2 linked regions of the Ovis aries genome follow. The protein of the gene in region 2 purifies or fractionates together with the protein of the main gene of each other region. This does not show direct contact. Links are inferred from orthologs where the notes say so. Each region holds a gene or a part of one and is shown on either strand. Other genes may lie near its edges. The genes, in order: GIT2 and PAK1.

The links.
Region 1: the proteins of PAK1 (region 2) and GIT2 purify together in Homo sapiens (affinity purification with mass spectrometry; 5 studies listed by BioGRID and IntAct, with this or other methods). This does not show direct contact. The link is inferred for Ovis aries from reciprocal best matches to the Homo sapiens genes PAK1 and GIT2.

The regions. Positions count from the first base shown.
Region 1 is NC_056070.1:63,467,269-63,471,088, reverse strand, and holds part of GIT2 (ARF GTPase-activating protein GIT2), read right to left. Parts: intron 1,916-3,820; coding exon 1,773-1,915; intron 1-1,772. UniProt on the Homo sapiens protein: GTPase-activating protein for ADP ribosylation factor family members, including ARF1.
Region 2 is NC_056074.1:16,221,336-16,225,155, reverse strand, and holds part of PAK1 (serine/threonine-protein kinase PAK 1), read right to left. Parts: intron 1,101-3,820; coding exon 984-1,100; intron 1-983. UniProt on the Homo sapiens protein: Protein kinase involved in intracellular signaling pathways downstream of integrins and receptor-type kinases that plays an important role in cytoskeleton dynamics, in cell adhesion, migration, proliferation, apoptosis, mitosis, and in vesicle-mediated transport processes.

The sequences.
Region 1 (3,820 bases), on a different chromosome or scaffold from region 2:
ACAAATCTACTCTAACAGTGACTCTGAACACCTGTCTCATCTGCCTTTCTCTTGTTCATTCATTTTTCTTTTTTGATTCATTATTTCACTCATTCTGACAGATTTTTACTAAGCATCAGGCAGTGTTCTAGGGGCTTAGGTTACATAAGAAAAGAAAATAGAAAAAGATTCCTGCTTCCATGGTGTTTACATCCCAACTGAGTGAGAGAGGGAGAAAAATAATAATAAATAACTACATAGTATAGGGGAATGTGATAAGTGCTATGGAAAATAAACAGAACAGAGGAGGAGTGAGGGGCTGGGGAGCTGAAAGAGAGGTGGACGTGGGTGCATTTTAACTAGACAGCTGGGTGGGGGGACATGAGCAACAGCCTGCAGGAGGGGAGGTCACTAGTCAGGTGGCTGTCTGGAGGACAGCGCTCCAGCCTGTGGTAGGACTCAGCTAGAGGGCGTGGGTGTGCAAGGCCCAGAGGAGGGGGAGGCTAGCCAGTGCAGGGACCCTGTCGTGCAGGGTCCAGTCAAGACCCGCCTTCACTCGACTGAACTCAGCACTTCCGGGGAGACTGGCGGAGATGTTTCAGATGGGACAGCTGACTCTTGCCATCCCCTCCATGTTCCCTGCATCTGCCGGTGGCACCACTGACCCGCACAGCTGTGTAAGCTGGAAAACTCCGGACACAACTCGGGTAAATCTACCTTCCCACTTCCAATGTCTAACTTGTCCCCAAGCCCTGCCTTTTCTGTCTTCCTGTTTGCCCATTCTCAAGTGTTTGCTGAGCCCCCTGTGGGCCAGGTCAGGGATATTCAGCGGTAGGCAGGCCAGCCAGGCCCCTGCTGCCCTGGCCTCGGGCTCACTCTCTGCAACGGTGACTTTTGTTTTCCATCCAGACCCTCCCAGCTGAAGAGGCCCTGAGGTGAGCCTGCGTCAGCTCTTGTTTGGACCTTGTCGGCACCTCCCTGCCTGGGTTCCTCTCCTCCGCTCCTGACCCACCAGAACGGTCCTCCCCAAACAGAGGACCCAACAAGGTGGACATGGTGTTCCCGCCCTGCCTAAAAGCTTCCTGGGCTCTGCGCTGCCAGCCAAGGTCTCAGCTCTTCAGTCTGGGGTCACGCTCCTGCACGGTGTGATCCCCGCCCTCTGCCGCAGCTCAGACTCCCTCTCCTTTCAGGCTGCCTCTCCACGTGACCAGACGTCCCCCAGATGCCTGTCTCACCTCCGCTCAGTCTGACCCCTCCCTGCCTTTCCACGTGCCCACGTCCCGGGCCTTCTCAGCCTCCCCTGACACTCCCTGTCAGTGACAGGCTGTGTCTGTGGATCGCCTGCTCCCACCCCTCCGCTCCTGTCTGCACTTATGACCCTCGAACCGCGGTTCCCTCTCCTCTTGGTGAGGACGGCCTCACAGAGGAAAGAGACCAGCCCTCATTCAGGAGAGTATTATCCAGAGAAGTTTGGGTAATACCCAACAAAAGTAAACATTTGTTGAAAGAGTAAAACCCACCCGTCCCTCCTCATAGGTTTTATAAAGTTAATACTGCAGCCGGGCTGTGAGTCAGCAACTGACTCAGGGGCAAGGGACCCCCTATTTTAAAACTTTAAAATATTTACCTTGTTGACCTTTGCTTGGGCCAAACTAGTAGAAAACCCAATTTTACCTCCAGAGCACTTTTCCCAGGCCTAGCCCTCGAATGCTTTACAAATCAGGCAAATTTTTAGGAGGAAAGATCTGAAAAAGAACATAAGCTCACTTTCTGTGTGCAATGCACCACCTTACCTTTTGCCTGTGGGCCTTGCTTGCAGTGGCTTCCGGATCCGTGTCTTCGTCTGACGCCACACTGTCGTAGTCTGGCTGGTCATTGTCCTGACTCTCAACACTGTGCTGGTTACTAATTGTTTTCAGTATCAGTTCTACATTGTCTGTCAACAGAAGCAAATAACTTTACTTCAGGCTTGAAAAGAACTTCTTTTTTCCTAAAAGAAAAATGAGCCATTTAAAAGACTGGAAGAAAAATGACAGAAATAGCAAGGTTCTATTCACCCCCAAAAGGGATAACAGAGCACGTTATCAACCGGACAGAGTCTACTGAAAACTATAGAGAGAGTGAAGCAACCATCTGAGATACCTGCCAAAAATGGGCACGAATTAGATGGCTAGGGAAGAGCTGCTCATGTAAGGTGGCAGGTTCCCAAATCTGTAATCATTCAAGGAAACAGTATAGCTCGAAATCACGAAAATAAAGCTGTAACTAAAGTACGATTAACTGTAATTCAGTTACAATTGTAACTCTTTTACAGGATTTAACATCAAGTCAAAACAGAAAGAAAACTGCTAAAGTAAGCCTAGAAACTAGGAGACCACTGAATAGGCACGTTGGCCTTTCCTTAACTGAACGCCAGGGAGAAAGAGAGAGAAAGAAAATGACCCACTGGATACAGACCATGCAGACCAAGAGCATATGGTTACTGGGAAGTAGCGATGGTTCTATCAGCTCTGACACATTATGAATGAAAGATTTCGCAAATTATCCAAGTCTCTCATCTCTCTTTCAGGCAACTCAAGCAAACCTCAAATTTCCAACACTGTTTATGGAAATTTTGAAGGATAATATCTGGGTGATAAATTATGTTTACTCAAAGGGAATTTTAGTTTTCAAAATGAATATGTAATATATATATATACCATCAGATTACAGAAGTAGTAAGGACTCAATATAGAAAAATTGAAACTAATGATAAGAGTAGTCATTCATAGCTATTGATACATGTCATTCTATTTTCTGCCAGTCTTTTCCCAAGCATATACAAATACAGACAGTAAATTTTACTATTTGTAGCAGTCACGGTCTATAAAGTTGCTGTGAAGAACAAATCAGCAAATACTGAACCACTGTTCTGAGTGGAAATACAGTTAGGTTCCTGCAAACATCTGGTCACATTTTTGTCAACTGATAAATACATAACCTTGTTTCACATGCGTTTCTGTTTAAAGACATCTTGAATATATATCATTGATCCATCAACATTGAACTCATGGTTAACAGCACTGTAACTCAGGCCTGAACAAAGCTAATCTAACACATGTATTTTCTGTAAGACATGTCACCGCCTTCGTGTGCTCAGGAATGCTATACAGCTCTTCAGCACTGTACTTGGGGACCACTTTAAACAGTGAAATTATCAAAAAATGTGAAAAACTGTGGCACTAAATAAATATCAAAAAGGCTACCTGCTTACAGTATAAGAGCTGAAATAAAAGGAAGAGCATGGCCTTGCTCAGTCTCACATGGGAACATGTGTTTTGGGTGACTCAAATTTTTTACCACACTGTACAGATCCACAAATTACCATCAAAGTGCTGTAAGATTTTAAGGTAATAATTTTTAATTTATTTATCTTTTTGCTGCCCCATGAAACTTGCAGAAATCTTAGTTCCCCAACCAAGGATTGAACCTGCTCCCTTGGCAGTTAAAGCCCAGAGTTCTAACCACTGGGCTGCCAGGGAATTCTCAAGGTAATAAATGAATTTTAATGAACAGGTGAACTGGCAAATATGAGATCTGGGAGTAATGGGGATAAATAAAGATATTCATTTGTACATATGCATGTACATAAATGTTTTCCTTACAAAATTGGGATGATACTAAAGCTTCTTCAAAAAATTAATTATTTTATATTACATCATTCCGTAGTCCCTGAAAAAAGTGTGCCCTATTCAAATATGAAACTAAAAATTGCTCTATTATTGTTTCCAGTGTAATATGTATCACACAGACAACATCTCTAATTCTCCTCAACTAACACCTAGAGATGGACCCACCAAGT
Region 2 (3,820 bases):
TGGTTTAATGGAAAAAATTTTTTAAATGAACATGCTTGCAAATCGAAAAAACCTTTCCAATGTGACATCTCTGGACAACTCTGATTCTGAAGCTCATTTTCCTTAAAGTGAGTTTGTAACCTATAGAAGCGGTGATTCCACAGATTCTGCTTATAAATTATAATTCTAAAAGGTCATCTAATCCCCTTGAATTGTCTCCACAGCATCTCCCATACTCAGTCAACCAACATCTGCTTGAATACTTCCATGAATTCTCTAGTTCAGAGAATCTTTTTTGTATTACCACAGAGTTTAAGCCCTAAATCATTTTTTCATTCTGAAGTTTTTGTCATAATAAAAAATCCAAACAAAGAAACACTAGTAGTATCATCTAATGATAGATCAGTGCTCAGTGATGCTAAAACATGTAAAATGCAGATTATGCAAAGTAAGGGCAAAGGGACCATGGCTATTATGAAATGCAACAACCTCAAAGGAAGTTAAATAAAAATTACTGCCAATATCCAGCATCAAAATGCACTCCTGATGTCCAGGATATTAATAGCACTAATGTTTTTACAAATTCTCTTGAGTCTTTCAGTATCATCAATAATGTCTTAAGAGCCTGAACACTGGACTTTAACAGAGAAGAAAGATCTATAGCAGGCTAATTTGTTGCTACCTAGGAGACAGGAACAATTTATGTTACTTCTGCACTAAGTAACACTAATTCTGTATATCTTCCTGTCTGTAAAGAAAGTAGGGCTAAGTTGGTACAAAGACCAACTATTCAGGACACCTTGGGACTATCTGCAAACCAATGATAAAAATAAATACACCACTTCCTGTCTTTAATCATACAGAAAGTACCTTTCAATCAAGGTAATTTGGTTATTTCACCACCTCCAAAATCTCAGGACCCCTACCAGAGTATTAAACTTCTAGACCTTGGCACCCATCCCTTACTCCCCACCTCCAAACTCTAATAAATCACAAAGACTCACAGATTTTGTGTGCTCTGGGCGTGGAGCAATCACTGGAGGTGGGGTAGCATCATCATCATCATCTTCATCTTCTGAAACTGGTGGCACTGCAGGGGTCTCAGACACCGCCTTCACATTCTGCACAGTGACAAAAGCCAGGTTCGTTAGGTTAAGCCAACACGGAACTTAAACTACCAGGGCCACCTATCTCCCAGAAGAAACCTTCTCCTGACACTCTTTCTGAAACACACATCAGCCTCCAATCTCTCCACCTTTGGAGCTGGCCTCAGGAACTCAGCCATCTCCCCTTCTTTTAGCTACCACTCCCCCTTCAGTCCCTGGAGGGCTTCCTTCTCCTACCCAAAGCCTAACTGTGGATGGGAAAACCAACTGACAGCTTCTCTACCTGCCTACCCCAAACCAAACCCTGAGGACAAGCTCATATTTCTTTCTTCTCTATGAATTTTACTCTGTGCTGAATAGAGGATAAAGTACAATATATAGGAAAGGGATCAAGAGTTCAGAATTTTACAAAGTTTATCATTATAATTCTGTAGTCCTTTCTGATATGGTAAATAGAAGTTCTGAAAGGTCTTTACCTCTCCTTTTCCTTCTTTACCAAAATATACTGCATCCCTTATGCTATCAGGTACGCTCACCTCAACCTGCAGATACCGAACATCACAAGAAGCAATGAGATTTTCCCCAGATCAGATGCTACCTATATCCTTAAGCTTCTGCCCTGTCTTGGAATGACCCTTACCAGCACCACTAATTGAATCTGCTATAATCTGACAAACTTGATTTTCCCACGCAAACTATAACAAAGCTGGGCCAAGACTGGCAGGTTTCAGGGCAAGACCAGGCAAAAAGATCATACCATTACTGTTTATAAAACATGTTCAAGAGATAAAATAGCTCCAAAATATGAGATTTTTGATAGAGATTAAATGATTATAGTATAGGACCAGAGAAGCAATAGAGATCTTTTAGTAGATATTGATATAATTCAACAGTTTCAGATATTTTCAGACCATCTACTTTGTGCTCAGTAAGATACTGTGATGGATGTTTTTGATATAAATGTACAAAGATGAAAAAGATGGTCCAAGTCCTAAAAGTAGCTCACCATCTGATGCAGGAGACAGACGGACAGACAATTCCCCTTCTGCTGCCATTTGAGGCCGCTGGAGAGAGGAATGTCAGAACAACGTGGGATAAGTGAAGGAACTTATTTAGCTGAATATTATACTAGAGTTATGTGTGGGAGAGTGGCCTTTACCACATTTGACATACTAAGTAAGGAAAGCTGGCATCCTCATAGATTCTAACAGGAGCTCCAGTGCAGGACGTAACTTAAAAACTGCCAGTGACAGGCGTTTATAAGCAACTAGTTTTAGTGACTACAGGCAGTGAATCCATCCTCTCAGCTTCAAGTTTCATTTACTTGAGGAATATGGAGGTGAGGACTGGTATAATTAGAGGGGTGCCCTTAAGTCACTTTCAGTTCTAAAATCCAATAGTAGCTCCTTCCCTGTGAAAGCACATATTTTGATACTTTTCTACTCTAATTTGTTTTCCCCCTAATATTCCACTCAACAAAATTTAACTAGGAACCCAAAATGAGAATGAAGTTAACTCAGCAGCCTCTCCATCTTCTTGGGGCCCTAGGGCTACCCACTGTAAACTATAAACACCAAGTGTGTTGCTTCCTAAAACTGTGGAGGAGGAGATTTCATCACCTTCCGTAGCAACACATTCTGGTTTCCACATGTGATGGCTTTGGGTGGTTGTATTAACGACTATCAGAATCAAGAGATAAAGGTTTCTTTCGCAGAATTTTATTTCTTATCCCTGTGTCCTTTGCCAAGGGTATCCCACTTTAAGCCAAAGTTCTCATCCATAAAATGGAAATGATGGCAAGAAGCTCTCTGCCTACCTTAAGGGACCACATGGAGAAAGAAATGACGTGATGTGGGTATAAAAACACTCAGTTAAGAAGATGTAAGGAATCAATTAAATTATCATTATGGCTAATAACCACAAACTTCTTTTTAAAAAGTGACTCCAACTCATCCACTGATTCACTGTAGATAAAGTGCCTGGTCCTATGTCTTACATTTTAGAAGAAGATATATTTAAAATTCATCACTAAATTGCCAGGTAGTAGTAAGAAACATGTGAGAGTAGAGATTGATTGAAAGTAAGGAATTATTACCTTAGATATAAGTAGTCATGGAAAGGCCTCTTTAATGGCCAGAACAAAATGAGAAAACAAGCCATCAGACCCTCTGGGAGAAGAATATTCCTGGCAAATGGAAGAGATACAAAGACTCTGAGAAGGGAACATGCTTGGAATGTTCCCGAAACCTCCAGGTGCCTACATATACTACTGAGAAGTGCTTATCATTTTAAAATTGCTGAATTTTGTGTAAAAACATAGCGATCTCTGATGTTCTGGCCCAGGATTTCTCCCATCCATCCCACCCTAGCTTCATTAGAGCAGGGTTTCTTCCAGGGAAGGCAGGCTGCAACTATGTGGTCCAAGAGGTCTCACTTTCATCTGGAGGAGTAAGCAGTGCCCAGGCCCAGTGGGGCCATCAGTGGAAGTAACCTCCCAGAGATGGCAGCAGGAGAGGGTCAACCGCTGCTAGCCTGAGACTGCAATCCTGGATAGGGCAAATGAATTCTGGCCAAGACTGCTCAAAGATACAGCAGACATTAGAGAGAGGTCCCACACTAGTTATACATGCCTGACTCTGTGCACATACATAAAAGCTTCAAAAGGGACAAGCAGAAAGTTAAAGTTTCTCGACAGCCCTCAAAGAGATCTCAATAATGAGCAATGATATAGATTT